Kluyveromyces lactis: one gene and its partners. The protein of the gene in region 1 purifies or fractionates together with the protein of each later gene. This does not show direct contact. Links are inferred from orthologs where the notes say so. Each region holds a gene or a part of one and is shown in the gene's direction. Other genes may lie near its edges.

What was found.
Region 2: the proteins of NAN1 (region 1) and UTP5 purify together in Saccharomyces cerevisiae (affinity purification with mass spectrometry; 4 studies listed by BioGRID, with this or other methods). This does not show direct contact. The link is inferred for Kluyveromyces lactis from reciprocal best matches to the Saccharomyces cerevisiae genes NAN1 and UTP5.
Region 3: the proteins of NAN1 (region 1) and RRP9 purify together in Saccharomyces cerevisiae (affinity purification with mass spectrometry; 3 studies listed by BioGRID). This does not show direct contact. The link is inferred for Kluyveromyces lactis from reciprocal best matches to the Saccharomyces cerevisiae genes NAN1 and RRP9.
Region 4: the proteins of NAN1 (region 1) and PWP2 purify together in Saccharomyces cerevisiae (affinity purification with mass spectrometry; 6 studies listed by BioGRID, with this or other methods). This does not show direct contact. The link is inferred for Kluyveromyces lactis from reciprocal best matches to the Saccharomyces cerevisiae genes NAN1 and PWP2.
Region 5: the proteins of NAN1 (region 1) and NOP14 purify together in Saccharomyces cerevisiae (affinity purification with mass spectrometry; 3 studies listed by BioGRID). This does not show direct contact. The link is inferred for Kluyveromyces lactis from reciprocal best matches to the Saccharomyces cerevisiae genes NAN1 and NOP14.
Region 6: the proteins of NAN1 (region 1) and UTP7 purify together in Saccharomyces cerevisiae (affinity purification with mass spectrometry; 5 studies listed by BioGRID). This does not show direct contact. The link is inferred for Kluyveromyces lactis from reciprocal best matches to the Saccharomyces cerevisiae genes NAN1 and UTP7.
Region 7: the proteins of NAN1 (region 1) and UTP15 purify together in Saccharomyces cerevisiae (affinity purification with mass spectrometry; 6 studies listed by BioGRID, with this or other methods). This does not show direct contact. The link is inferred for Kluyveromyces lactis from reciprocal best matches to the Saccharomyces cerevisiae genes NAN1 and UTP15.

What each region holds. Positions count from the first base shown.
Region 1 is NC_006040.1:573,737-578,568, reverse strand, and holds NAN1 (Nan1p), read left to right. Parts: upstream 1-1,724; coding exon 1,725-4,280; downstream 4,281-4,832. Other genes in the region: dynamin-related GTPase MGM1, read left to right, coding at 1-497; DNA-directed RNA polymerase core subunit RPB10, read right to left, coding at 1,023-1,235. UniProt on the Saccharomyces cerevisiae protein: Involved in nucleolar processing of pre-18S ribosomal RNA. Required for optimal pre-ribosomal RNA transcription by RNA polymerase I together with a subset of U3 proteins required for transcription (t-UTPs).
Region 2 is NC_006039.1:578,499-582,838, forward strand, and holds UTP5 (Utp5p), read left to right. Parts: upstream 1-1,850; coding exon 1,851-3,746; downstream 3,747-4,340. Other genes in the region: negative cofactor 2 transcription regulator complex subunit NCB2, read right to left, coding at 258-719. UniProt on the Saccharomyces cerevisiae protein: Involved in nucleolar processing of pre-18S ribosomal RNA. Required for optimal pre-ribosomal RNA transcription by RNA polymerase I together with a subset of U3 proteins required for transcription (t-UTPs).
Region 3 is NC_006038.1:970,171-974,150, reverse strand, and holds RRP9 (ribosomal RNA-processing protein RRP9), read left to right. Parts: upstream 1-1,686; coding exon 1,687-3,390; downstream 3,391-3,980. Other genes in the region: chromatin-binding protein CTF4, read left to right, coding at 1-1,321; KLLA0_B11055g (uncharacterized protein), read right to left, coding at 3,849-3,980. UniProt on the Saccharomyces cerevisiae protein: Involved in nucleolar processing of pre-18S ribosomal RNA. Required for efficient pre-rRNA cleavage at sites A0, A1 and A2, and biosynthesis of 18S rRNA.
Region 4 is NC_006039.1:783,055-787,735, forward strand, and holds PWP2 (snoRNA-binding rRNA-processing protein PWP2), read left to right. Parts: upstream 1-1,481; coding exon 1,482-4,217; downstream 4,218-4,681. Other genes in the region: YIH1 (Yih1p), read left to right, coding at 1-185; MPP6 (Mpp6p), read right to left, coding at 302-829; CTR86 (Ctr86p), read left to right, coding at 4,547-4,681. UniProt on the Saccharomyces cerevisiae protein: Required for bud-site selection and cell separation. Also involved in nucleolar processing of pre-18S ribosomal RNA.
Region 5 is NC_006039.1:1,426,267-1,430,994, forward strand, and holds NOP14 (snoRNA-binding rRNA-processing protein NOP14), read left to right. Parts: upstream 1-1,484; coding exon 1,485-3,998; downstream 3,999-4,728. Other genes in the region: proteasome regulatory particle lid subunit RPN5, read right to left, coding at 1-928; autophagy protein ATG9, read right to left, coding at 4,040-4,728. UniProt on the Saccharomyces cerevisiae protein: Involved in nucleolar processing of pre-18S ribosomal RNA. Has a role in the nuclear export of 40S pre-ribosomal subunit to the cytoplasm.
Region 6 is NC_006039.1:803,888-807,836, forward strand, and holds UTP7 (Utp7p), read left to right. Parts: upstream 1-1,624; coding exon 1,625-3,301; downstream 3,302-3,949. Other genes in the region: KLLA0_C09240g (dihydroorotate dehydrogenase 2), read right to left, coding at 1-896; proteasome regulatory particle base subunit RPN2, read right to left, coding at 3,490-3,949. UniProt on the Saccharomyces cerevisiae protein: Involved in nucleolar processing of pre-18S ribosomal RNA.
Region 7 is NC_006042.1:1,274,904-1,278,731, forward strand, and holds UTP15 (snoRNA-binding rRNA-processing protein UTP15), read left to right. Parts: upstream 1-1,628; coding exon 1,629-3,191; downstream 3,192-3,828. Other genes in the region: AIP1 (Aip1p), read right to left, coding at 1-1,069; SLD2 (Sld2p), read right to left, coding at 3,341-3,828. UniProt on the Saccharomyces cerevisiae protein: Involved in nucleolar processing of pre-18S ribosomal RNA. Required for optimal pre-ribosomal RNA transcription by RNA polymerase I together with a subset of U3 proteins required for transcription (t-UTPs).

The sequences.
Region 1 (4,832 bases):
AAAACGCTGTTGGAAACAGAAAGCTAAATCAAGTTATTCAATTCTTGAAACAGGATCCAAATAGAAAGGAGACTCTTGGATTCTCTGCCCTACTGCTTGAAAGGGGCCATGAAGCGATGTTCCTACAAGATAGATCTTCATTATTAAATTTCAGACTCAAGTTCTTGAAGAACAAATGTTTCTCCGTGACTCAGAAAGATAAATGCCCAGAGGTATTTTTGAACGCAGTAAGCGATAAACTAACATCAACCGCAGTATTATTTCTAAATGTTGAGTTGTTAAGTGACTTCTTTTACAATTTCCCAATTGAATTGGATAAGAAACTAAGTTTATTATCTGATGAACAAGTCGAGATGTTCGCTAAAGAGGACGTCAGAATTGCTAGACATATTGAATTACAAAAACGTAAAGAATTATTGGAACTCGCTTTGGAGAAAATAGATTCTATTCTTATGTTCAGAAAATCCTATAAGGGACTGTCGAAAAGAAACCTATAATGATCACTGTATCCTATACAACCGCTTCTGGAACACTTTATAATGACTACTATTTACGAGATCACTGTATATAAACAAAACTTAATCTTAATATGTTTCTACATGGAAATATGCCAACATCTTATGTAAGGCTTCCCGTCTTTAAATAATTAATGAACTTTTTAAAATCCCAACATACCAAATTTATAAAATCAGATGAATATGCTTTATTTAGGTGATGTGAATAGTATACAATGCAATAGTACATGAAATAGAATTGTGTGCATGCGTGCATGCGTGCTTCTTGTGCTTTCTTTATTTGTCGTTTCAGCAGCTGAACAGAAGTTACAGCAAACAGATGGTAATTGAAACTCAGTGGTTTTGTCTATTCTGGAGTCCATACGTCGAACGTAATAAAATGCAAACAAAGAACGCAAGAAAACAACGCGGTAGTAACCAGTGGCAGAAAAGTGAAGACGTAATTAAAGAGAATGGACCATTTTAGTGTAGAAGGGGGTATCGCAATTGATAGTAAAAGCAGACCACCTAATCTCTTTTTTCCAAAGGATTGTATCTCAAGAACTTTTCAATCAAATCGACATGTGTTAGAATCATTCTTCTGCAACAGTATCTCTTCAACCCCAATCTAGTCAAAGCAGTACCTTCTTCTAGTTCTTCTTCTTGCAACATATTCAAATAGGCTTCCCATTTGTCACCGACAACTTTCCCACAGGAAAAACATCTAACTGGAACAATCATCTCTCTTTAAAAGTATATCGAAACGAAAAAAAACCTAGAAACCTGGAAACCTGGAATAAACCCTCCGAGATTTATAAACTATCACAATAAGTGGATCAAAACCTGCTCGACCTTTTGAAAACTCATATAATTTGCATCACAAATCATCATATTCAACCAGCTTTCTTAATTCTTAATACTTTAATTTTTCATCGGTTCCAAATTTTTCATTAGATGCCCTTATATGTCACTTCTCACGATAGAGATGACCATCGTTTCTTTTCAAATCCTCGTCCTGCACAGGTTTCAACCATAAAATTTTCCAAAACTACAATTCTACATACGGTGAAAAAAAAGAATCCACATTAGACAAATAATTGAAAAGATGCGATGAGCTTATGAGTTATATGATGAGCTTGTCTTTTGAGAAGCAGAGAAAGAAAATACCAAGAGTAGGATCAGCCAGAGGCACCAACAAGAGTATCAGCTGTTATCGAATCCACGTTAAATATGCCAAACTCTTCGTTACCAATGTACAAGCTTTCTGTTGTTTCTGGTGGGAAGGTCGCTCTTCCTAGGATTCACAATAGATCCGCGACTAGAAAATCGGTGAGTTGTCTTACTCAGGACGGGTCAGCATACATTGTCCCTTTCAACAATCAGTTCAAAGTGTATTCAATTGATACTAGACAATGTATTAAGACATTGAAATTTGCTAATAATGATATTTTGACTTCGATACTCGATGAGCCTTCTGTAGAGGTGGTGCATATCGAGCCTATTATTGACGATGAGATGGATAAGATCAGAGTGTATACCAACACTGCGAAAGTAGTTATATTGAAGTATAAGGGTAAATTAGCCACGGAGATTAAAACTTGGTCTTTGAATATTACTGGCGAGTTATTTGCAGTTCTTGGCGATGGGAAGAAATTACTTACAGTTCAGAAAACAGGGAACTCTTACAGATATGATCTATATGAAAACGTTGAAGAGAAAGAGGAAGAATCTGAGGTTAAACACCTTGAAACTTTTGAGAATGTTTTACTTTCAACTTGGTCTAATAACAATAACTACCTTGCCCTAGTTTATTTGAACCAGGAAACTAAAAAACATGTGCTGATCAAATCTATGGTCGACAACAGTTCAGTTCAGAACTTCCCAGTACCATCTACAACATCTAGTACCACCATAAATTCCCATTTTGTCACTGCTCTTGCGTTAGATAACGACGGCCAGCAGTTGGCTATTGGATTTGCATCTGGTGTTATAAATTTGATCAATCTACCTGATCTGTCTCATAGATTATTGAAATGGCATATCGACTCAGTCCTATCCTTAGGATTTACAAATGACAACGCATATTTACTGTCTGGTGGTTGGGAGAAAGTTTTAAGTTTTTGGCAGTTGGCTACTAATATGCAACACTTTTTGCCAAGATTGAACGGTGTCGTCCTGGAATGCTTACCAGTAAGTGATAAGTACTATTCATTAGTGTTACAATTCGCTGAAAATAATACAAATTCTGACTACCAGATTACATTGCTCAATGCCACAGATCTATCATCAATACTTGCCATCAACGGCCCATTCCCGGTATTTGATACCATTACAAACGATGTTGAACAGCCAATTTCTACAGTTAACTCGAAAAGTTCTGTGTCGTCATCCAATATGCTACAATCGAAGAAAAAGCAAAAGAGAAAATTACTAAAGAGGAAAAAGCATGATTTCACCGCACCTTTGTCTGTACATCCATCTACAAAACATCTCTACTTACCACACGTTTCATCTTTGCAGTCTTACGATCTATACAAAAATGAACAGGTGAGCTACCAGTATGTTACATCCAGTGTCAACAATGCAGCAGGTAAGGTTAGACTTGAGTTAACTATCCAGGACCCTGTTGTACAGGATGTGAAATTCACCCTAGATGGTTTTTGGATGATCACATATGAAGTTGAGTACCCACCTGAGGGTTTATTGTCTTCTAAGGAGTTGTCACACGTTCTAAAATTCTGGAAATTAGATGACAACAAAGAATGGGAGTTGAAAACTAAAGTGTTGAACCCACATGGTAACAACGTCCCAGTGACAAACATAACTACAGCTCCAAATAGCATAAATTCTTCCCAGGGTTGTTTGACTGCTGATAACAATGGTGGATTAAAATACTGGAAGTTTGATTCGAAACAGAATAACTGGTGTTTGAACAGATTATTACTACCCAACTACAACCATTTTTCGAATTCGGTGCAACTAGCATGGTCCTTAGATGGCTCCTTAATCTTCCACGCTTTTGAAGATAAGCTATCTACCATTGAATTCAGCGAATTCAAACTACTGGAAGATGAAAATGAGTTACCAATCGAACGCACTTTGGATACTCCAATTCAAGCTCTTACACTTGTCAACGATTCGACATTGATAATCTCCACGAAGACTTCCTTGCATTCGTTCAATTTATTGACACAATCCACCATCAGCAGTTTCGATATCTACCCTTATGTGAACGGAGTTTACAAACCGGGCCATTTTGCCAGACTACTTGCATGCGATGCGAACACTGGAAGAATCGCACTTGCCATTAACCAACAAGCAGCAGGAACTGATGGCAATCCAACCTTACAACATAAAGCCAACATTTTAATTTTCAATTCCGATCTAACAGAAAAGTTGGGCAGCTTCGAACACAACGAATACATATCGTCGTTGGTATGGAATTACGCGGCAGATTTTATTTTCATGGATATCCAGTCTCGTCTTGGAATCGTGAGCACCACAACCAGCTCGGAAATGGTGGACGAATCGAATAATGATCAAGCATTTGAATCTCTACATCCCGATTCATTCAGCGAAAAACTACAAGAGCTTACGAGAAAGAAAGGTTTGGCAAACACAGATGCTGAGGATGGTGTAGATGAAGACATAGATCTAGAATTCATTAACGGGAACTTGTCACAAAACAAGACCATTAACATGAACAGTTTTACAAGTTTGTTTGAAAACATCGACAACGTTCAAATGAATACCTTGTTTGACCGCGTCATGAAGATTATCACATAGATGTTTTATACATTGACTCGAACATACGTATGTGTATATAATACAGAGAATATTTAAACAACCCTCCATTTAATTATTTATTCTGTCACTGACAGAAAAAATACTCGATGACAGATTAAATATGGAAAATAAAATAATCTAATAACTGTAAAATAAAACAAAAAACTAATGCGACAGAGATCAAAAAGAAGGAAATCACCTCCAAAGCAAATTAAGGCAGATGTTATGAAACATAGTTCCACCATCGCATTCCCAAGTCCATGGATGTACTGACATCGCTCCACTTCTCCCGGTAGAATACGTCTTATACAACGCTTTAAAATTAATATTATATCTGTTTTCAAACTACCAATACCATGACCACTAGTCCAGTGACTCACAAATCCACTTGTATGTTGCTTCCCAGTAGAGTCACAGACCAATCCACTTTGTTGAGCAAATTCTCATGTCATCCTTTTGCTGGTCACCATTTTATAGAGAGCGGTGTGCATGCTAAATCACACTTTATCCATTTTTATCAGAATCACATAGAAACGCACGTACAAAACGGTA
Region 2 (4,340 bases), on another chromosome or scaffold:
CTACAAACGGCAGAGTATAATCGTTCCAAATTCAGAATTGGACAGGTATACATATTCTATAAACGCACTTCAGTCAATCACATGAGGTATTTCATACATACTCCCGTCCTTGAAATGCAGAACGAATTTTCAAACTCTTTCATATAACAATAAATCGTACTATTACACAAGTATTTCTATAAACTTTTCTAGAGCAAGTCTGTCAAGTATAGAGGAGTGAGTTTTGAAGATAATGCAACACTTTGTTTGTTATGTTTTCAGAATTCTTCGGCCTTTACGCCAACTTCTGGATCGTTGCTTGAGGCGTCCGATACTGATGTCTGTTGTAACCTTGACCTAGATTGTCTGAATAATTCTTCCTGTTGTCGTAGTAATTCCTCCTCAGACAAACCGGATTTCTTGAATTTAGCATCCCGCCTCTCTCTAATCTTCTGGTTTTCTTTGTGTTGATGTAAAATCTCTTCTAATGGTGGAATAAATTCATCAAACTCCAAATCTTGTAAGGATTTGATCACGTGATCAGGCGCTATCGTCTTTTTCAACTCTTTATCTGCGATCTCGCTAGCAGAACCCGCTAGCATCATGATGAACTCTACCCCACATTCGATGATTATTTCACGAGCCTCCTTACTGAATGTTAGATCGGAATCAAGTACTTCAGATATGATTTTTTGAACGGTAGCCTTCGGTAATGTAACGTCGTCAACCTCTCCAACCATGTTTTCAATTGCTTATGGTTGAAATTCTAACGGTCTTTATTTTCTAAGATAAAGCTTGTGATTATTATTTTTTGGTTTTGCAAGCTTCCCTGAAAAAACTATAATACTCTCGAACTTAATTCTGTGCTGCAAGTCAATATACCAAACAAGCACTTCACGTAGTAATCAATTAGATAATTGGATGAACTTGAGATGATAACAGATTGTAAACAAATTTAACAATGTCAACTTTTGTTTTTAAATGCCTGGTATTACACTTTTTTGTCCTCCTTGAACTCTAGATCTGAATTATGTATAATAATATATACTAAAAAAATACTCATCGCTATTTCATTCACTATGCAAAAAAATGATATGGCTCGCCAAATTGGCACATTTTTTGATGCTTTATATATAAAACTACGAATCAAACTAAGAAGAAAAGTTGAAAATAAAAAAAAAAAAATTAAAACAACAACACACATCGCACACATCGCATCACCTATGCAAACAAGGGACAATAAGGGAATTCTGATTGGAAAATATATATATATAGATGTATATTCAAATTAGCAACAGGACAGAGACATATAAGTGTTGACCTTGGTTGTTAGGCAGGAGCTCTTTCCTTACTTGACGTAAATTCTTTATGTTGTGTTAATCACCCAGCTTCCTCTCATCACAGTAGAAATGCTAACTAGTGTTTGTTAGGAGATATGAAGTGTATAACTTGAAAGCAGGAAGGCAATGTTTGGAGGTTGTAAAATAAGATTGCAAAAGCTGAGTTAACGAACTCAGCTCAGTGGATGTATCCTGAAGAAAAGCCTTAAATTGGGGACCACTGGCTATATGCTCCAAATCACGTGAACAATATATGCTAACTTCTTATTACCCGGCACTTGTTTTTTGTAAGTAAATCTCACTTTTCTTTCTCCTTTCCAAGCTAAAGCTTTTCATTTGAAACTTTTCATAGCTCATCTCATCGCATCTCATCTGAGCTCATCGCACAGTATTTACTTTTGTGTACTTACTTCTTTCCTAAAGTGTTTCGATAAAACGTCTTGGGATATTAATTGAACAATCACCGGCTTTCGTACTGTTTAAGCTAGAGGTCTACACTCTACCACACGAATAACAATAGCAAGCTTAACGATGGCAACAGCTTCGCCAGTCGTATTATCACAATATGATCCAACCGGACAATATTTTGCATACGTTTCCACCGCTTTGGATAAACAGCGGGTATCAGTGGAGCCAACAACTGCCTCCAAATCTGGTTTAGTGAACGATAATTTTCTCTATTTGGAGGGGAAAGACGTCTGCTGTACATGCATACAATGGATTACTTACAATGACACACCATTGGTAGTTCTGGGTCTAAACCTAGGGGAAATATGGCTATACTCTCCTTTATCGAATGAAATAGTGGCGAAACTGAACACAGGATCAAGCTTAGCAGTTTTAGATTTCCAACTCTTTTCAAGCAAGGACAAGGCCTGGTGTTTGACTGGTGATGATACTATTTTTTTATTCGACATGGTATCACAGAATGTATCAAAAAAATTCAAAATTGATGAATGTAAGGACTTAAAAAAGCTATGCATAGTTGATAGCAATCGTATTCTTGTCGCTTCTCATCAAATTTACTTAATCGATGTCATTTCAAAGAAATTGTTGTTACAATACCCTGGCCATATTTCACCTGTGTCTTTCCTTCAAGTGACCACAGATGGAACAGCATTTTTGAGTGCATCTCAGGACGATAGATTTTTGAATATTTATGATTTGGACACTACCAAGACTAAGTCCGTCCTAGTAGCGGACTCGAACGTTATATCAATTTCGATATCTGAGGATTGGTCTCACGTGTCGGCAACAACAGAAGATGGGGATATTGCTATCTTTGAAGAACCTTTGGTATCAATCAATTCAGGGAATAAGAGACGTTCTGGTAAGATATCCAAACAAAAAAACAAAACTATAACTTTATTAAGGTCTAATTCCGCAACCAGATTGCCTATTATCAAAAGTTTTATCAACAAAGATCTAATTAATTTTTCGTGGTTAGAAAATGCAACCACACCTTACTTTGATCAAGTTCAATTAGGTAACCTAACGGATTCAGTCACCACTTTATCCAAGCCATTGCCATCTGCTAAATCTACACAAACCAGGAACAACCAAAACAGTGATATTTCTTCGGCAAAGCTCTACAAAGAGGGTAATGCAACGGTAACATCTGGTGATAACTTTAAGCATGTGGAATCCATTGTCCAAAGTTTAGATGATATAGAAGGAGAAGGGATTTCAGAAACTTTACAGGATAGACTAAATATAATTTCACCACCATCGAGAAAACCAAAGGAAAGGAGAAGAGCCAACGCTGGTACTTCTTCTGTTGTATTAGCTCAAGCATTAAAATCAAATGATCATGCTCTATTGGAAACAGTCCTTAACACACGCGACGAAAAAGTCATTCAAGCAACCATAACCAGGTTATCCCCCCAACTTGCTACGATTCTCTTGGAAAGACTCGCTGAACGTATCGCCAGACAAACTCATAGACAAGGTGCTTTGAACGTGTGGGTGAAATGGTGCCTAATAATTCACGGGGGTTACTTAGTTACCATTCCAAATTTGATAAATTCATTGTCATCGCTACATGCTACTTTGAGGAAACGAGCAGATCTCTTACCAACACTCATGGCATTGGATACACGTATTACACGTTCATTAGATGAATTGAACAGTAAGAGAGCCGTACAATACGGCAAGGATCAACTTGATTCTGAACTTGTCGCTCCATATCAGGATGACGAGTCGAACCAAAATGAAGATGAAGAGGAAGAAGTGGAATATATAGAAGAGCTAGACGATGCTGGATTAATAGACGATGGTGAAGACAGTGCAGAGTACTCTGAAGATGATGACGAACACAGCGAGGCTGATAATCAGGAACTTACATACACTGAAGAAGGATTTGACGACGATGACGAAATGAGGGTCGACGTTGAAGAAGGATACTCTGACGAAGAAGTTCAGCATTAGCGTACATAAAAGAAAAAATATAAAACGCTAACGCATTGAAAAATGCAGCTGCTATGTATCGACTTAGACCTGACATTCTTCCTCCATGCAGCTTTAAGCTTGATTGATCATTATGGCCGGGTAATGGAAACATCGGAGTTTGACTCTGTCTGTAAATAATCTAATTAAAAAAAACAATTGTTTGCTAGTGATGCTCTCAGAATTCAATTTAATCCAGAACCAAACAAGTTAAAAATTTAAAGCGTGGAACATGGAAAATGTAGAAGCGTTTAATGAGGTGTTCTGTGTTGGTTTAGAACGTGCATTTTTGGTAGACGGTCTATCCGGCTCGGAAATCCCGTTCTCGTAAACAATTTTAGAATTTCTCTACTGGTTGCAAGCACGTAGGTTCGTCTCGCGGTACGGGAGTTGATCTTGTCCATGGGATCAGTATCTATCGTTTCGTTTTGTTTTTTTTTATATCTTTGACAGATAAAGTATAAATGTGTCGTGTATTCTTTCGGCTCATCTTCCATTTGAACATTCGTTGAGTGTTCTTTGATCAGTAAATCTTTGATATACTTATTTAAAGAAGTGGCAACCACAGGTTACCCA
Region 3 (3,980 bases), on another chromosome or scaffold:
CCTTACTATAAACCAACTAGGTCATGTATGGACAACAAGAAATGAAGGCGGTAGCAATTCTATAACGGTCTCTTTTTTCGATGTTAGTCGATTCCGTGAGTATCATTTCGACGATTTATTCAAATATGACCTTTGTTCACTGACCGATGAAGGTATACTATTGGGCCAGTCGAAGATGGGTCAAATTCAATACAAGCCACATAGTCCCTCTGGAGATTCATGGACTAAAAAGATTCCCTTACTTTCCAAAGAAAGAGTTACTTCAATTGCCTGTACTCCTAAACGTGTAATTGTAGGAACATCTCTCGGATATCTTCGTACTTATAACGATTTTGGGTTACCACTGGCAATAGAAAAAATGTCACCTATTGTTGCTTTGTCTGCTCATGAGTACAAAGTGTTCACCATTCATTACTCACAATATCATGGTATTACTTACTCGATGTTCCAACAACATCCGCAAACTGGCAATAAATACTTCCAAAGAGAATCTCCCTTACCAATAACGTTGCCTCAACAGAATCAGCCGGGAAATGATGATGAAGACATTGAATTTTTAAAATACGATGATATTTTCAATTCATTCAACCCCCTAGGTATCAAATCCTTATTCTTCTCAAGCTTTGGTGATCCGTGTATGTTTGGTCATGATAATGTTTTGTTAATTCTGTCCAAATGGAGAAGTGGTAGTGACGCGAGATGGGTACCCATAGTTGATACCAATTTAGAACTTTGGAAGATGTCAGGGGGTAAGCATCCGAAGAACGTCCACGTTTGGCCATTAGGATTAAACTTCGATACATTTTCGTATTTATTATTGAAGGGGAAGAACGCATGGCCAGATATCCCAATGACCGTTCCTACAGAAATGGAAGTCAGAATCCCAGTTGTATCAAAATCCGAGCTTCAAAAGACACAAGACGATAATCGTAACGACAGCAGCGATGTGGAAGATATTGATAACAGTAATGGTGTCGAAATTCCAATGTACCTAGCAGCAGAAGAGGAATTTCTACGCTCCAAGATACTAAGTGATTTACTAAAAGACACGATGGATAATGAAGGTGAGATATACGGAAATGAAACAGATCTATTACAGCATCTGGTAGCAACACATGATAAGTCCTTACTACGACTTTTAGCTTATGTCTGTTCCGAGCAAGATGTTAACAAGGCCGTTTCAATCGTCAACGAACTGAAGCAAGATAAGGCCCTATCTGCTGCAAGAAAAATTGCAGAAAGAGCTGAACTACTTCCACTAGTAAGAAAAATCAACACGATTATTGAGGCCAAATTTGAGGCCGATTTCAATAATATATGATAATCCCCTGTTCTTCTTATCTGGACTAGAATAAGTATTGTCAGTTTAAATAATAATTGATTTTCCGATCCGTGCATTGACGTTCATTTTCTGCCGTAATGTAAATTAAACTAAGTAATTCTAGCAATACCAATGAAATCAGGCATATAGGTCGTTGAATCGAGTAAAGTCTTCCAAACTATTATTTAATTCTGTTGCAAGTTCATGCATTCTTCAATTTTTGTCACTTTTCAAGTGGTGTCGTTTCTTTTACAAATTGGCGATACTGAAAAAAAAATTGTACATCTGAACCAACATCATTGAAACAGGCGATGAGCTGCAACTAAACCAGACGAGACAGCAACCAGAGGGCCACCAAGTACACCATGGCTAGATCTAGTACAAGCAATGTCTCAAAAAAACGTAATAGGGATTCTGTCGAAGAGGTAGATGAGGAAATCACGGATATTTCTTCTGATGAAGGTGATGTCCAAGATGAATCCAATGATGGCGATGAGGTAGCAGAATACTTGGAATCTGAAGACGAGTTTGAAGGCGAAAACCCTGCTGATAAGAGAAGAAGATTGGCTAAACAATATTTAGAGAATTTAAAGGCTGAAGCTGAAGATATTGGCGATTCTCTGGCGACCGCAAGCACTGAACAGGACCGTCAAACACAATTAGAGGATTACAATAACTTTGATGCTCGTGACTTGGACAGAGATATCATTGCTTCCAGATTGAAACAAGATGTTGCAGAGCAACAAGGGCGTATCTATAGATGGATTTCAAATAAGCTTTTGATAGGTGAATCCAGAACAACGTTTACAAGAGTAGGCGAAAATAATCTAACATGTATTTCGTGTTATCAACCCTCAGTTAACAAGTTTTCTCATAAAGATGTTCAAAATAAGAGCAAGGACAAAATATTTGCTTACACTGTTAGCAAGGACATGCAATTAACAAAATATGATGTTACTGATTTCAAAGCTAGACCAAAAAAAGTGAAATATGTTAAAGGTGGTAGAAAATACATACCGGAAGGTAAATTTGAGTACGAGAATGTGACAGAAGGTCATTACGATGAAATCTTAACGGTGGCAGCTTCTCCTGATGGTAAATACGTAGTTAGTGGTGGTCGTGACCGTAAACTGATAGTATGGAGTACCGAATCTTTAGCCCCTGTGAAAATTATTCCAACCAAAGATCGTAGAGGTGAGGTTTTAGGATTAGCATTCAAGAAGAATTCGGATCAATTATTCGCAGCATGTGCCGATTACAAAATCAGAACGTATGCTATTAACCAGTTTTCTCAACTGGAAATATTATACGGTCATCAGGATTTGGTTATTGATATCTCTGCCCTAAATATGGAGCGTTGTGTGACAGTGGGGTCCAGGGATCGTACCGCTATGTTGTGGAAAATAGCTGACGAATCCAGATTGACATTCAGAGGTGGTGATGATCCTGAAAGACTGAGGAAAAAATGGTTGAAGAACCAACAATTGTCCGCAGAAGGCGGAGAAGATATGCATGAACAGACCCCACCTCACTTTTATGGCGAGGGAAGTATCGATTGTATTAGCATGGTAGATGATTCACATTTCGTTACTGGCTCTGATAACGGAAATATATCATTATGGTCTTTATCCAAAAAGAAACCTCTTTTCACCGTTAGAACTGCTCATGGTGTTGTACCATTAGTTGAGGATAAAAAAATCTCTGGGGAAGTGAGCGATGAATTACGCAATGCACAATTACAAGGTGGATCCATTGCCCAACCATTTTGGATAACATCATTATACGCCGTTCCATATTCTGATATTTTCATTTCAGGATCCTGGAATGGAACCCTGAAGGTATGGAAAATCAATGAGAACTTAAGAGCATTTGAACTATTAGGAGACTTACCTAACTGTAAAGGTGTGGTAACCAAAATTCAAGCCGTAGAATCCGGCAGAACCGGTAGAGAAACCTTCAGAATTCTAGCAAGTGTCAGTAAAGAACATAGATTAGGAAGATGGATTAGCAAGGTACCAGGTGCAAGAAATGGTATCTTTTCTGCTGTGATAGAACAAACCGGATTCTAGTTAATCTTATCAATAGAAAAATCTCCTGTATAGTAAAAAGAAGAATACTTTAATAAAGCCGAAATACATTAGTAATTGTTACAAGGGTATATATTTATATATAGAGAGCTCTAACCGATCAATGATGTAGAGAACTAGGAAAGGATTAATAGAAATCATTGTGACATGATTTTGAGTAGTGTCTTTCATTGTCAGCCATGATAAAATAAGGTGTTAGAGAACGAATTTGAGAACAGATAAGATTTAATTCACATAGCCAGCGACGTAGAGAATTAAATGCGGGAACATCAAAGGAATAGCTCAAAGGATTAAAGGAAAAGATCGGGAAAAGTCAAATGGATTTTTTTATTTTAAGTATTAAGCGTTCCTCATGTTCTTGTAAACAAGCAAGGAACGAAAGAGTAATAAACAACACAAATCGTCTCAAGAGAAAGCAAACAACTCCCAAAGTAAAGGAATCATAGGAAGGCCAAAGCAATACCAGCGGCAGCACCAATCAAAGCGTCGTTAATTCCAACTTGGTAAGCAGCACCAGTAGACTCTGAAGTGCCTGAAGTGGAAGCCCCGGTAGAAGAATCACTTGTCAAGGA
Region 4 (4,681 bases), on another chromosome or scaffold:
TGCTACATTTGATCACAGTGATGGATGCATGGAATGTAATTGTTGCCGTTGGAAGATGGTTCGGAGGAGTTCATATTGGTCCAGATAGATTCAAGCATATAAATTCAACAACTAGAGAAGTAATATTGAAGGGGCATTTCACAGAAGCTGCTACCTCTACTTCAAGTAAGAAGAGGTCAAAATAGTTCACATTTATAGAATGGAGTATTGTTACCGGAATTTGATCTACTCTATTTATTATATAAGTCGGCGAAAATAATATACAAATACTAGTGTCTCATTTAGCATCCTGCTATGAAGTTTAATTTCTATTCCTTTTTGACTTCTTCTTATTCCTCTCAGTATTACCATTACCATTGGATTTCTTCTGTTTCTTAGTCTGTGTTTCGGCTTCCCATAGCTTTTCTAAATCTGTCGTCGACACATCGTCCTCGTCCTTTTCTTCAAAACTTCTTTTCTTATCATTAGAACTCCCATCTGAACCGGGCGTAGCTCGTCCGAGTTTATTTCCGAATATTCTTCTTCCTGCATTTACACTAGTCCGTAGTGTGCTTGTGCTGAGATCGTTTGTATCGATCTTCGAATCCTCATCATTCAGTGACTTGATAGCAGAGAAACCTACGTTCTGTACCACTTTTGATTTATTAGCAAGTTTTGTCAAGAGTTTTACATTGTCACCTATCCTCCATTCTGACGAGTCCACCAATTTCTTTATTGTCTCCTCGGTCTGTTTAACTTTGTCTGCTTGTTCCGCATGCTTCATGAACTTCATGTTCATCACTCTATTGGATAACTTGCCTGTGACTTCATGCCGTTTCTGTCCACTCATTGTTACCTTTTCGTCTTAGTGCCCCTATTACCGCTTTCAAATAGGCTTCACTATATCATTGACACTGGAATACATTTTTAATGTATCATTAAAGTCCTAATACAGCTCATCTCATCAATCTTCTGCTGAATGGTTTGATCTTACATATTAGAATTTCATGAAAAGTTTGTTTACGATTGTCCGGAAAATGAAAGATAGCAAGAAGATAGAAATATCCATGGTTAAACCCCGTCGGACGTATTTCAGAATGCAAGGATCTGCACTATAAAAGGAACATTGTACAAAAATAAATGAAATAAAAAGGTCATTGGTAAAAGTATGAAAACAGCTATAATGAAGTACTCATACTAAGTTTCAAGTGCTGACATAAACGACAATCCACCCAAAAACCGACATGTTTCTGTTCTCTCTTTCTTTACTTCCGTGCTAAAGCTGTATATGTTTTCCTTTCTTTTTCATTCAGCATACAGGATTTCGAAAAATTTAAGAGAAAAAATTGAGCGATGAGATGAGATGAGATGAGATGAGTTCAAGCAGGAAGTGCAGACGGATTATCAGTCACTTGTAAGGACTTTGCATTATAATCAGTTGTTCAATTTCAATTAGTTGGAAGGAATCAGGTCAGACGAGCTTTATAAGGGTTTAGTTACGGATGAAGTCTGATTTTAAGTTTTCCAATCTTTTGGGAACTGTTTATAGGCAAGGTAACGTCTTGTTCTCTCAAGATGGTTCCAAGTTACTTTCACCGGTAGGTAATAGGGTGTCGGTATTTGATTTGATCAACAATACTGCTTTTACCTTCGAATATGAACATAGGAAGAACGTTGCCGTTGTAGATATCAACAAGCAAGGTACGTTACTTCTTTCCATTGATGTCGATGGTCGTGGTATCTTGGCGAACTTTAAGACAAGAAACGTATTGCATCATTTCAACTTCAAAGAAAAGGTTTATGACTTGAAGTTTTCACCTGATGGCAAGTTATTTGCGCTGGCTTGTGGGAGATTCTTACAAATATGGAGGACACCCGAGACCACTGAGGATAGACAGTTTGCACCTTTTGTTCGTTATAGAATCCATGCCGGCCACTTTTCTGATATAACTTCCTTGACATGGTCAAAAGATTCAAGATTTATTATATCCACATCCAAGGACCTAACGGCAAGGATATGGTCAGTTAACTCGGAGGAGAAAAATCTTGCATCGACGACTTTTGCAGGACATAGAGATAACGTTATCGGAGCATATTTCAGCGATGACCAGGAAAAGATATACACGGTCAGTAAAGATGGTGCCTTATTCCAATGGGAATACACCAAAAAGCCTGGTGAAGGGGAAGACAATGATGAAGATGAGGAAGATGTAGATTTGTCAAAATATAGTTGGAGAATCACAAAGAAGAATTTTTTCCATGCAAACAGAGCAAAGGTGAAGTGTTCTGCATTCCATGCTGCATCCAACATATTAACAGTCGGTTTCTCAAACGGTGAATTCCGACTCTATGAACTGCCAGAATTCATCATGATTCAACAACTTTCAATGGGTCAAAATGCAGTTAATACGGTTGCCATCAACAGTTCTGGTGAATGGTTGGCTTTCGGTTCTAGTAAACTTGGGCAATTGATAGTGTACGAATGGCAATCAGAGTCATATATTCTAAAACAACAAGGTCATTTCGATACGTTAAATGGATTGTGTTACTCCCCAGATGGATCGAAGATTGTCACAGCAAGTCACGAAGGTAAGATCAAGATTTGGGATGTCGCGTCAGGTTTCTGTTTGGCAACTTTTGATGAACATGCAGGTGGTGTAAGTGCAGTAGAATTTGCTAAAAAAGGTCAAGTTTTGTTTTCAGCTTCTTTGGATGGTACCGTGAAAGCATGGGACTTGATCAGATATCGTAATTTCAGAACGTTCACTGCGACCGAAAGAATACAGTTCAACTCATTAGCAGTTGATCCAAGCGGAGAAGTTGTATGTGCCGGGTCGGAAGATAGCTTTGACATTTTTGTTTGGTCAGTACAGACTGGTCAGTTAGTGGATACACTATCTGGCCATGAAGGTCCTATCTCCTGTTTATCTTTCAGTAATGAGAATGGAGTTTTGGCATCCGCTTCATGGGATAAAACAATTAGAGTGTGGTCTCTCTTCGGTAGAAGTCAACAGGTAGAGCCTTTTGAAGTATTTTCTGATGTTTTATCTATTTCTATGAAACCGGATGGTCAACAAATAGCTGCAAGTACTCTAGCGGGGCAAATATTATTCTTTGATGTTGCTGAGGGCAAACAGGTGGGAAATATTGACGGCAAAAGGGATATAATCTCGGGTAGACATTTGGAAGATCGGTTCACATCAGAAAGTTCAGCAAGATCTAAATATTTTACCACCATTCATTACAGTTTCGATGGTCTCTCTTTGGTTGCAGCCGGTAACAATAATTCCATATGTCTTTATGACATTCCAAACGAAGTACTGCTAAGAAGATTTACCGTATCCAAAAACATGATGTTAAACGGCACCATGGAGTTTTTAAACTCAAGTAGAATGACAGAAGCAGGATCTTTGGATCTCATTGATCAAGATGCAGAAAATTCAGACTTGGAAGATCGCGTAGATAACAGCCTTCCTGGTTCGAATAGAGGAGGTGACTTATCGACAAGAAGAGTCAGACCGGCGATCAGAGTGACGTCTATAAGATTCTCTCCTACTGCTAATGCATTTGCCGCCGGTTCAACAGAAGGTTTACTTGTATATTCCGTTGATAATACTATTCTTTTTGATCCTTTCGATCTTGACGTCGATGTGACTCCACAGAATGTTATCCAAAGCTTAGATGACAAGGAATATCTCAATGCCATACTAATGGCTTTCCGTCTAAATGAGGGCTATCTAATCCACAGAGTATATGAGAATATTCCAATAAAGGATATTCCATTGATAGCTCACGAGTTGCCAGTGGTTTACGTATCAAGAATTCTAAAATTCATTGGTGAGTACGCTTTAGAATCACAGCATTTGGAGTTCAATCTCCTTTGGATCAAATCTGTACTTACAGCCCACGGCAAATACATTTCTACTAATAAGCATCAATTCTCTAGCGCATTGAGAGCTGTCCAAAGATTTATTGGTAGAATGGCAAATGACGTCGTCCAAACATACAAGAGAAATAAGTACACATTAGACTTTTTGACAAATACCGATGGTTCTTCAACTAACGCTGTTGACGAGGATATGAATCTACTGGGCAATGATTCAGACAACGAATCTGAAGACAAAGAGGATATCAACATGGACGACGATTTAGATGGAGGTGAATGGGTTGGATTCGAGGAAAAAACTATTAATCTTCCTGTTAATGACGAAGATTCTGACGACGAAATCCTACTATGAAATCGGGATACTTCACTAAAAAGAGAATATATATAATTCCTAGCATGATAGATATATAAAATCACATCTCATTAATTTCAATAAAACAATCATTACCACGAATTCACATGGAGATTTTCACTGTTGTCCGTTTTTAACTTACGTTATTGCCTCTTAATCTGATAAGTTACATGCATATTAAAAATTCAAAATTGTTAAAAACCTTATAATTCAGGAACAGTTTTGAGATGAGATGAGATCAGATGAGATGAAGAATATTCAAAATAGAGAAATTGCGGTACAAAGCGTGACATTGCGCTCTACTGTTCATAAAAGCGCTTTAAACATACATGTCTGAAATTAGGTGGTCCAAGCTTCACAGTTTAATCCACGATGCACCAAGTGACTCAGGAGAGTACATTACTATAATTGATTCACTTAATGACCTAATCAAAGAAACCACAATAGAAGATAGAAGAAATGAA
Region 5 (4,728 bases), on another chromosome or scaffold:
GCCATCTCATTAGTTCTGCTGTGGTGAAGAGTTTTACCAAGGATTCTTGGGATGGCAATTTCTTTAGATTGTTGTCCAACTGAACCTTGTGAATGAGATCATTTTGTAGGTTATCATATGGCGATAGAATCAAGAAGTATACAACCCTGGATAGAGCTGCCTTCCATTGAATTTCATCTGCCTTCACAGAATCAGAGTTGTAGATTTCTTGGTAGTACTGAGCCACTTCTAAGTAATCTTTCTTATGCAAGCCAATCTTTACCAAAAGGTTATAATACTCTAATTTCAATGCTGCATACTTTTCATTCTTGAAAGTCTTCTTTAATATTTTTCTGGACAACACAGTGGCTTGAGAGTAATCACCTTTTAGGATACTTAATTCCATTTGTTCAAGGATAAATTCAATCTTTTCATACATCTCCATGGACCCATACGTTTCCACTTGCAATTCACATAACAAGTCAGTGGCCTCATCGATCTTGTTCTCAGATCTTCTGATATGAACCAAATCTCTAGTGACTCTAGCTCTTTCAACTTCCACGAAAATCTTGTTCTCAGTCACGGTTCTTATCGTCTCAATAGTTTTAATCTTGGTGTCCAAATCCTTCAGGTCTTCCAAATATTTCATCACAGACTGAATCATATACTGCACAGATAACTTCAATTGACCATGCTTTTTTGATAGAAGCATGATTTGGTCGTTAAGTAGGTCCCATTGGTCTGCTGCGACCAAAACATCTACGATCTTAGTCAAGACTCTTTTCGAAGATGCTAAATCAGAAGATTGTCTAGTCTTCTTTTCCAACACTAACAATTGATCCAAAGCACTGGAATAATCATTCTTGGCCAAAATCTCAAGCTTAGGAAATTCAGCGTCCAAGATTTCGGTATAATCTTTCTCTGCCTTAATTGGAGCGTCTCTGGACATATTTTACGATATAATTTATACTCTTTTCTCTTTGCTCTGCCTGCTCAACTTAAACCGAAATGCAATACAATCAATTTCTCTGTATCCGTCCTGTATTCAAACCACACAAACTTACAGTCTCAGAACCGACACTGTAACCTGCTGTACCTCTGTTCGCGGTTATTTCGTATATATTTGCCACCTGTAACTGATTTCCTTTATTTCTCATAATGCCTTTAAAATGACAAGCTACGGTAAAAGCTTCCTCAGTAACAGTAACAATCGAATCTTAGAAAAACGTGACTTCATCATCGTTCGTAATGATTGTGCTGGATATTCGGGTAACCTTGATTTGATTTTATTGTGCGGGTAACTATTTTCTTTCTTTTCGGTGAAAAAGCATTAAAAGTTTGACAGAAGATGAATTGAGCGATGAGATGAGATGAGATGGGATTAAATCAAAGGCTGTCAGAAGGTTCAGTATCTTGGCCGATTGTATTGAATTGACTTGCATCATCAGTTGTGTTTAGACCATTCTTCTTGTCTGTGGGCAAATAGGTTACAAAGTCGAATAATAATGGGTGGTTCACAGTTGAAGAACTTGAAGGCCGCTTTAAAGGCTAATGGGTTGACTGGTCAGACCAATGTCAAGAAGAGTTCTAAGAAGAAGGGCAAATCTCCCAGGGAGTTTGATAGAGAAGAAAGACAGAAGACTATTGAAAGAATTAGGGAACAGTTTAATCCGTTTGATGTGAAAACAAATCGTAATAAAAAGGTTGGTGTGATGAGGGAATCTGCAGCTAAACTTGCAGTAGGTAAGCCGGGAATCACTAAACAAGCCGGTGAAGATCAACGTAAAATGTTCTACGAAGCCAAGAAGTCCAGCAAGAACAGAAGCGGTGGTGTCTTAGATAAACGTTTTGGTGAAAAGGATAAGAATTTGACTTCCGAGGAGATCATGTTGGAACGTTTCACAAAGGAAAGACAACGTCAATCTTCGACGAAAAGATCGTTATTCAATTTAGACGATAGCGATGGTGGTGAGGATGAAAACGTGTACGGTGAAAAGTTGACTCATTATGGTAAGTCTCTTTCCTTGGAAGATGATTTCGATGAAGGTGATTTGGGGTTACAGCATTCTGATTCGGAGGACTTCAGGTTGAAACAAGCTGGTAAAAGAAATATGGCGGATCAATACGGAGATGAAGGGTTAGGTGATGACGCTTTGCAAGAGCCAGCAAGAAAGAAGACTAAGGCAGAAGTCATGCAAGAGGTCATTGCTAAATCCAAATTTTACAAACATGAAAGACAAAAGGCGCAGGAGAAATTGGTCCAAGATATCGAAGGCCTTGATGACGATTTCGAAAGCATTATGTCTGAATTAAGGACGTTACCAAAGACTAAACCTTCTCAAACTGAGATTTCGACCTCCACAGACATCGCTCCAGATTATGATATCAAGGTGAAAGAGTTAGTCTTGGAGAAAAGAGCTGCCCCTGCAGATAGAACTAAAACAGATGAAGAGATTAAGAAAGAATATGAGGACAAACAAAAGGAATTGGAGCAGAAAAGGCTTGATCGTATGAACGGTATTTTCAACATTGAAGATCAAAAAGATGCTGGTGTTGAAGATTTGGGAGAAGAGTTTTGGGAAGATAGCGACTCTGAGGAGGGCGAATATGGTGAATATATCAAAGCAATTCCTGACTCGGATGACGACGTTGATTTCGAGAAGGATAACAATGATGACAATGAATACGACGCTACATCAAATGGTAGACCTTCAGCAAGAGTTATACCTTCTGTTCCATGTCCTCAAATTCACGATGACTTACTAAATTTCTTGAAATCTTATCCTATCGAAGAGCATCCATCTTTAGTTAAAAGAATAGTAAAAACATACCAACCAAAATTGGCTGAGGGAAACAAAGAAAAATTGGGCAAATTCACTGCTGTTTTGCTCAGACATATACTTTTCTTGGCTGAAGAAGATTACTCGGTTAATGTGAAAGAAATTGCATCATTACAAAACGAACTAGTAAGCATTCTAAAGACTCTTTCAGAAAAGTTTACCATTCCACTATCAGAGGATTGTAGAAATATCATCTCAGATATTCAGACTAGATTCAAAGAATCCCAGTTCTATGGACTATCTCCATCAGATTTGGTATTTTTCTCTGTTGTTGGTATGTTGTTCTCCACTTCGGATCACTATCATTTAGTCATTACTCCCTGTCTGCTTCTAATTGCAGAGTTTTTGGAACAAATTAGGTTCAATTCTCTTCAAAAATTAATATTTGGTTCGATACTGGTTAGAATCGCCATCCAGTATCAACGTATAAGCAAGCGTTATATTCCTGAGTTAACATACTTCTTGCAGACATCTTTGCGTTCTCTAATACCGAGTACCAAAGGGGAAACATTAGAAAACAAAGAAAAACAGGAGGACAATTTATCAATAGTAGGCTCGGATATTAACTGGTCCAAGGTCGCCCCTTCTTTAGAATTACACTCATTATTTTCCGAGGATCTAGAAAAGCAAGAATCTATCAAACTGTCCGTGCTGGTCAACAATCTAGAATCAATTGATTGGTGCATAACGAACATCTGGAAAGATCTTACTGCCTTCCCAGAAATCATTAATCCCTTCAAAGACATACTAAACGTGGCTGCCGAAGTATATCCTGGTACTTCTAAACCAAAACAATTAGTGGAAAAGATCGAAAAGCTATTGAAATTCCAAGAACGTCTGCCATTGACGTTGCAACAGCATAAACCACTGGCGATTCCATCAAATACGCCTAAATTCGAAGAGAACTTCAACCCAGATAAGAAGTCGTATGATCCAGATAAGACCAGAAGTGAGTTGAACAAGATGAAGGCGCAATTGAAGAAGGAACGTAAGTTCACTATGAAAGAAATACGTAAAGACACTAGATTCGAGGCAAGACAAGGCATTGAAGAAAAGAAGAAGGAGTACGCCGATTACCATTCCAAGATGGCACGTATTGTCAATCAAATCAGTACTGAAGAAGGTGCTGAGAAAAACAAATATGAGCGTGAAAAGAAGCTCCGTAATACCAAACGTTAACTGCATATTATATAATCTATACTCAACATTAATAAACTTTATCATCGATTGCGATCTGATTTTTTGTAATATTGGTTTAATAGGCCCATAACACCATTTCCCGCCTTCAGTTCGTCAGCATTATCAGCAATATCATCCTTAAAAAGGGTAGATTTGTTGATAAGTGAACCACTCAATGAGCCTAATTCAAGGTCCGAACTACGATCCGGGAATCTCTTCACCCTTGATCGATTAAGATTTCTCTTACGATTGGAGTTTTTACCTAAGGCAAATTGTGTCTTCCAGGAATAGTCTTTAGTAGAGCTGTATGGGTGATAAGATGGCTCGATTGGAGAAGCTGGTAGCTGATTTTTGCCCACTGCATTGCCTGCATTCTTGTAATCGTCAACGAAGTACATATATGACTGAAGCATTTTGTTAACACCCTCATCCGATTCGGTTTCACTATCATCCTGTTCTGCTTGGGAAAACATTCTCTTAGTTTGTTTTTTGGCCTTGGTACCTTTGTCAATTTTAGTAGCTTCAAACATTGCGTACTTACACACGTATCCCAACCCCTCCTCATAGACGGTACATTCTCTAAAAAAATCTATTATTCTTTCTGAATTCTTTGGCAGGGAGAACCATAATATGAAGGGAGTGATTATAATGCTGACTAGTTCCCTTAGTAATAATGTGATTCTCAAGTTGTAAAGCCTACAAAACTCATTTTTGATGTCCTCTGTATGAT
Region 6 (3,949 bases), on another chromosome or scaffold:
ACAGGAGGTTTGTGTGTCTTAGCACCTAATGCATTACCAGATGTAACCAATGAGTCTCTCTTGGCAACGACTTGGGTCAATAGATCAGTAAGGATGGATTCTTTTTGTAAACTTCTCAAACCCGGGGTATTTGGAGAAGACACATTAATTACTAGAACATCTGCGTACTTTTGAAAGCTTTCTACACCTTTCAAATAATCTTGCACTTCATCACCGGTCTTATTCTTACCCAAATTGACCCCCAACAATTTGTCTTTGTATAAGGACAAGTTTTCAACGGAATTGTCCTTAAACATGTAACTGTTGATGAAACTGGTAATACGGGATTGTAATGTGTTGACAACGGTGTCATGGCCGGATGAATTGAAACCGTATCTGTTGATAACAGCATCATCCAAAGGTAATCTAAAGAATCTAGGTCTTGGGTTTCCTGGTTGTGGTAATGGAGTCACAGAACCAATCTCTATATAACCGAATCCTCCGGAAAGTATACCGTCGATGGCATCACCATTTTTATCCAAACCGGCAGCACAACCAATTGGATTGGTCAATTTCTTACCAAAAATGTTCACATTCAATACCTTATCATCGTTATCGAACCATAATCTTGGAGCCAACCCATTCTTCAAGAACCAGATACCTAATTTATGCCCATCTTCAGCATCTGGCGTTACAAGTCTCAACATCGGGCACAAGACGTACTCATGGAAAGCAGACCTCGAATTGGAGAAATAGAATCCCGCAAATGAACCAATGGCTATCCCAACAGTGTACTTCAAAAGCTTAGGGCCAGAAATGCCTGCTTTCAATGGGACCATGCCATTCTTGACAAAGAACTGCGATTGATTTAGCGTAAAAAGTTTCTTGCTCAAAATACGTGGGAACCCACTATTCATAGTTGATAAAAGCAAAATACGCGGTATTCGGAGTGACCTCTACTTGCCTATTCCAATCTTGTATAACAAGAGAAAAGAACAACGATACACGATCTAGCTCTCTATTCATTGCGGGAGGACCAAAACATTAGTTCAAGTTCTTCATTTTCATTTCATTTTTCAGTTAAGACTCGACGGAGTGTTTTCCGGAAACACATCTGTGAGGAACAAAAGTATGTGACTAGCAGATGCCTGGTGCAATTAGCTCAGAGGTCACCATTGCATATTAATTTGTACTTTGATTTAATTTCTTTTAGATACCTATCATATGTCTAGATGCATAGAAGGTAGTATACTACTTTACACCGGTACTACAGGATGCAGATCAAGTGAAAAATACTCAGGGAACTACTCTTAACTACTCTTTCAAGAAGAAATGATTGCTATTTTGGTTAGAAATCGTTTGGACTCATTGGGTTTGGTATTTATAACTGAATTTCCCCACGTTTTGGGCATGTACTATGCGCCGATTGATCTATTTATCAGTCATATACAATTCTTACTTGGTAATGTCTATCATTCTTCAGCTCAACTTAAGGATTTTTTCTTTTTTTCTCGAGTATCCAATATCGAAAATTTTAAGAAACGATGAGATGAGATGAGCTTCACAATATAAGGTTCTGCAAGTTTACTGCTACATCTTCTGATATCAGGTATCACTTCACGAGAAGCCGAATCAATATTCAATAATGGTTGCTAAGAAAGGTAGTAAGTCACAGTATAGTGACCTACAACGGAGAGACAATCAGGACAAATTTGAGAGATCGAATAACGATGATGATGCCAACGGGTCTCACAAGATGCAGAAGAAAACCAAGGATAAGAAGTTAAAGGCAGGATTGAAGCGTATTGATCAGAAGTATAAGGAAGCGGTACTCTCTACTGCTGCTACAGAATATCTTTTACCCGAAGAGCATGGTTATTTAGAAGCAGAAGATGAGATGGAAAAGACGTTCAAGTTCACACAGGCTGAAATCAAACACCATGTTGACGCCTCCATGGCCAATAAGGCATTGGACTTGAAATTAAACGATTTTGGTCCGTACCGTGTAAATTATTCCAGAAATGGTACGCATATGCTTATTGCAGGTCGGAAGGGCCATGTAGCATCTCTTGATTGGAGGAAAGGTGAACTTCGTGGTGAGCTAAATCTCGGGGAGACAGTGCAAGCAGCAACATATTTGCAAAATGAACAGTTCTTTGCAGTAGCACAAAAAAAATACACGTTCATTTACGATCATGAAGGTGTAGAGCTGCATCGTTTAAAGCAGCACATAGAGGTCAAACATTTAGAATATTTACCATATCATTATCTCTTGGCAACAGCAGGACAAACAGGTTTTTTGAAATATCAAGATGTTTCGACAGGTCAACTAGTATCAGAGATCAGAACTAAACTAGGTCCTACTACAGCGATGGCTCAGAACCCTTGGAATGCAGTAATGCATTTGGGACATAGCAACGGCACAGTCACTCTATGGTCACCATCAATGCCATCACCACTGGTAAGACTATTATCATCTAGAGGATCAATAACAGGAATTGCTGTAGATAGACAAGGTTATTATATGGCCACCACTGGTTCCGATAAATCTTTAAAGATTTGGGATATCAGAAACTTTAAAGAAGTACATAGTATTGAGAACATGCCTACGCCCGGTACTAACGTTGCAATTTCAGATACAGGTCTACTTGCAGTATCAAGAGGGCCTCATGTAACAATTTGGAAAGATACGTTGAAAAGTGGGAAAGCTGCTAGACCGTATTTCACCTCTAGCGGTTACAAAGATAGAAATACTCCGTATATGTCTCATTTATTCGCTGGAAATAAAATAGAGAACTTCCAGTTTGCGCCATTCGAAGATTTGCTAGGTGTTGGACATCAAAAGGGTATAACCAATTTGATTATTCCAGGCGCAGGGGAAGCCAACTACGACGCACTAGAGGCCAACCCATACGAAACAAGCAAACAGAGACAGGAACAAGAAGTGAGATCATTATTGAATAAGTTACCTGCTGATTCTATAACATTAAATCCAAACACAATAGGTACAGTAGATTCTCGTGCTTCTCAAGTCAGATTAAATGCAAAGGATCTTGCAATTATCTCGAATGCAGAGCAAGAAAAATCCAAACTAAACAAAGACATTCCTGATGCCAGACCTGATGTTAAAGGTAAGAACTCCGGATTACGTGCGTTCCTACGAAAGAAAACTCGTAATGTTGTGGATGAAAGGAAGTTAAGGGTACAAAGACAACTAGAGAAGGAAAAGTCTAGCCGCCAAAGAAAAGAAAAAATTAAGAAGGGTGAACTTGCTGATGATCACAAAGACCTTGTTGATGAAGCCTTATCAAGATTTTCTTGAATCATCAAGTAGTTATCAATATGTATACTTACATGAACACTTATATAATCTGTTATTATAGCCGGCTTAGTATCGACTGTTGCAAAAACATGTTTGAATTATTTGCATATAGATACGACTTAGTTTGAGGTGATTATTTACTGTACATTATGAAGGATGACCGCTATTGCTAGGACCTAATTTCTCGATTAAAATTCAAGAGAATCCTCGACTTTAAATGAAGATGGTAATGGGGCATATATATCTTTTGTTTGTCTTACGGTCTTGATTAATTCTAGTGGTTCTTCAGGTGTCTTATCCTCAACGATAATGACACCTGAGTTTCCTCTGAATTTGCGAACAGGTACAAAACGGCTATCTTTCGCAAAAGATATGAATTTGAGTTGCTGCGGAAGCACACGGGTGAGGTTTTCAACATCATAGCTCGTTGTCGTGTATTTGATCTTAGCTTCTTCAGTATTCTTGGCCTCTTCCTTCTTTTTTTCCTCCAGTTCCACCTCTTGCTTTTCTTCATTTACTTTTTCTGCATCCTTTTCTTTAACCTTTTCATGTTCTCCTTTTTTACCTTTCTTAGCTCTTGCCTTGGCCTTGGCGGTAGTTGACAAGACGGCAGCTGCAAACTTTTCTATATTTTTGTCCACCTCTTCT
Region 7 (3,828 bases), on another chromosome or scaffold:
CTCTACCATCGTATGACCCAGACACTAATGGGTTTACCGCCAAAGAAGTAATCCCCTTGTTGTGACCATGAATGAATTTGATGGTATGATCATTTAGAGACAAAATGCTCAAGGTCCCATCAAGCGTCAATGTTACGATGGAGTTATCCTTAGTGACAACAACACCGACAATTTGATTCGAAACATCTGCACCTAATTTCCAAGACTGTTGGAATGGATCATCCAACGACACATCCCACAACCTTGCAGTGCAATCAGCACCCACGGTAACAACTCTAGAAGACTCTTCACCATCGTCTAACCATGCGACAGCAAACAAACCACCGCCAATTGGAGCCTTTTCAGACTCAATGTATTTGATAAATTCACCAGTCTTACCATCAAAGCAACATATCTTACGATCGCTACCGACAGACACAGCATATTTCCCTGCACCTGGAGAGAACTTGACGTCTCTAACGAATTTACCTTGGCCGTGATGCGTTCTATCACTGCTTGCAAACTTGAAAGGTGGACCCTGGTAAAACACAACAGAACCATCATCACTGACACTGAAAGCTCTCATTGGTCTGCTTTGCTTGAAATGAACTGCATTGACTCTTTGAGAGTGACCCGAGACTTCACCTAACGAGTTGCCCGAGTCCCAAGAGACAAACGCACCAAACCTATCACGACCTTCACCAACAACAGCCAATCTTTTACCCTCAAAATCCCAGGATATATCAGCGACAGGACCAGCGAGCACATGTAGTTCCGACTTAACGTTGTACTCAATTTCTCCAGACTTATCGTCCTGATTCCAAGACCAAACGATAACTCTACCGGAATCATCTCCTGAAGCAACATATTGAGACCCCTGGATAGGAGAAAATTTTACAACAGTGACATTACTGGTACCATGGCCATTGAATTGAACGACATGTTCACCATCTAAAGATCTAATGATGGCAGATCTACCGCTACCATAAGCTAAACTGTCAGTCTTTGGATCATATGATAAATGTGTCGTAAAGTTTCTCTTTGTAGAAGGGAGAGGTGCAAAAACCTTTGCTAAATTAATCGAAACCATATTATCGCGAGATACTAGATCAATTGACTTTTGGAACACTCTGTAAACGCACCAGAAAGACCTCTTCCTGACTCAAACGTGTCCTGTTCTCATGGTTTAGTTTCTTGATAAACTGGTGAGTATAAATAAATTCCATACATATGGAATGTAAATAGACGAAATAATAACTACTGGGATGCAGAAATACAAAGAAAAGATATCCTAAATACCAGTTAGTATAATGAAAGTGGTATTGCTGAATACCTGGGAATCAAGAAAATCTGGGAAACCAGGTTAAAAGCAGATAAAGGGCCTTAAAGGCCCTTTATCTGCTTGTAAAGTACAGTGAACGGTTATTCTTCTCTGAAAAATCACAATCAACGAGATTCTTCGAGTCTTCAAAGAAAAGAAACCAGATTTTGGAAAAAAAAAATGATTGAAGCCTTAGCTCATCGCATGGTTGATAAAATAGATTTCCCTGTAATTTGCGAGTTATATCAGTCGGTTTGGTATCGTCAGACTACTGTTAAGTGATAGAGGTGATTCAGGCGATCAGATTGGTAGAAATATTGTGAAGAAAATGTCGTCTGTGAGACCTAGAGTGACGCCGGTAAAGGCTCCTGTGTTACCAAAGCAGACCACCCCAGAGCAGAGGTACTGGAGGTCTTATTCATCTACTCAGCTTGTTAAAGAGCACAATGCAGTGACTCATATTGCCTTCAATCCCCAGCATCCACATGATTTTGCAGTTACCTCTTCTACTAGGGTACAGGTCTTCTCGTCAAGGACAAGACAAGTGATCAAGACGTTTTCTAGGTTTAAAGATGTGGTGCATTCGGCCACTTTCCGTCAAGACGGTAAACTTTTAGTAGCAGGTGACGCTACTGGGTTAGTGTCCGTTTATGATAGTTATAATCCACGTACTTTGTTGCTTTCTATACAAGCTTCGTCGCATCCTACGCATGTGACGAAGTTTCACGATCAGGATAACAAGACTTTGGTGACGGCAAACGACGATAGAGTAGTGAGACTATGGGATGTTTCTCATGCTTATGAACCCACTTTACAGTTAACTGGAGCATCTGATTATGTTAGATCAGTCTGCTTTGTGCCAAATGCTCCACATATGGTCGCTACAGGGTCGTACGATGGAGTAGTTAGATTGTACGATATTAGAACGAAATCAGATAAACCACAGACAACTTTGGATCACGGTCTTCCTGTGGAAGATATCACAGCCATATCTCCTACTCAGCTTGCATCGTGTGGTGGTAACGGGTTCAAAGTATGGGACTTGACTAGCGATAGAGCCCTTTGTGAACGTCAAAATTTCGCAAAGACGGTCACCTGTTTGAATTACACAAATATGGGAGAAGAATCACCAATGAGTTCCGTACTAGTTGCATCCTCGCTTGATGGTCATGTTAAGATCTTTTCCCCGTTGGAGAACTTCCAATTCAAGTTTGGCTGGAAGTTTAGCAACGCTGTGCTAAGTTGTGCAGTCTCACCAGGCGATGCGCAAGGTAATAAACATTTCGTTGCAGGTTTATCCTCAGGAATTCTAGCCATCAAGACGAAGAAGAAGTCCAAAAAGATTAACCTCGCTGATGTCTCTGATTTGGAGGATTTACCATTACAACAGCAAGAGAAGTCTGCGAAATCCAACAATTTCCAGAGAATGATGAGAGGGTCCGAATACAGAGGTGATCAAGAGCATATTATACACAACGATAAGCCAAATCCTCAGCGTAAGTTGCGTCAATTCGAAAGGCATATCAACCAATTCAAATGGTCTGACGCATTAGATTCTGCATTTATCCCCGGTATGGCTAAAGAATTAACTTTAACGGTATTACAAGAACTAAGGAAAAGAGGTAAAATCAAGGTTGCATTATACGGTAGAGACGAAAGTTCTCTAGAACCACTACTCAACTGGTGCTTGAAGGGAATAGAAGATGTTAGAAGTGCACCAATTGTTGCAGACTGGATTGCGGTTGTAATTGAACTCTACGGTAGTGTACTGGAGAAGTCCCCAGTACTTGAAGAGATGGTAATCACTCTAAAGAAAAGAGTAAGGGAAGAGATCCGCAAAGCAAAAGAAGCACAAAAGATAGAGGGTATGCTCCAATTGTTAACAAACTGATAAAATCCTTTCTACACTGATCTATAACAAAAAGGAATGCGTGTAAAAGATTATATTTATTTACATTTATAGTACATAGACTGCAACAACTGTATCATCCCGTTCGTTACGTCTGTTTCTTTGTTTTTAACGTTCTGACTTTGAAGAAATCACCTTCTTCCTCTCCATTTACTGGCTCTGTTTCTTCCTGCCTTTGTTGGAAGATTCAAACGCTTGAAGTTGTTGCTAACAAGGTTGTATTTACTCTTACGTTGCTTCTTCTTTACGGGTGGATTGGATTGTTGTTCAGAGTCAGACTCACTTTCTTCCACTTCTTTACCCAGCATTTTATTGTACTCACGTTCCTTCAACTTTGCTAGCTGTTCATGAACATTTTTGTCTGGAATGTTGGTCGACTTCTCGTTTAATGCTGCTGGTCTCATCTTCGCTTTTGTTCTTTTCTTTATGGTTTTAACTTTCCGCACATAATTGCTCTCAGTTTCATTGCCGACAGTTCCCTCGTCCCCCTCTTCAATTATATCCATATGTTCTTCCTGCATCAGCTTTTCCATAAGCGTTCTAATCGCAGTGAATTCGCTGAAATCTTCTGGGTTAGATTCGAATTCGTCTTTTATAATGGCATGTTCCTTCGCTAATT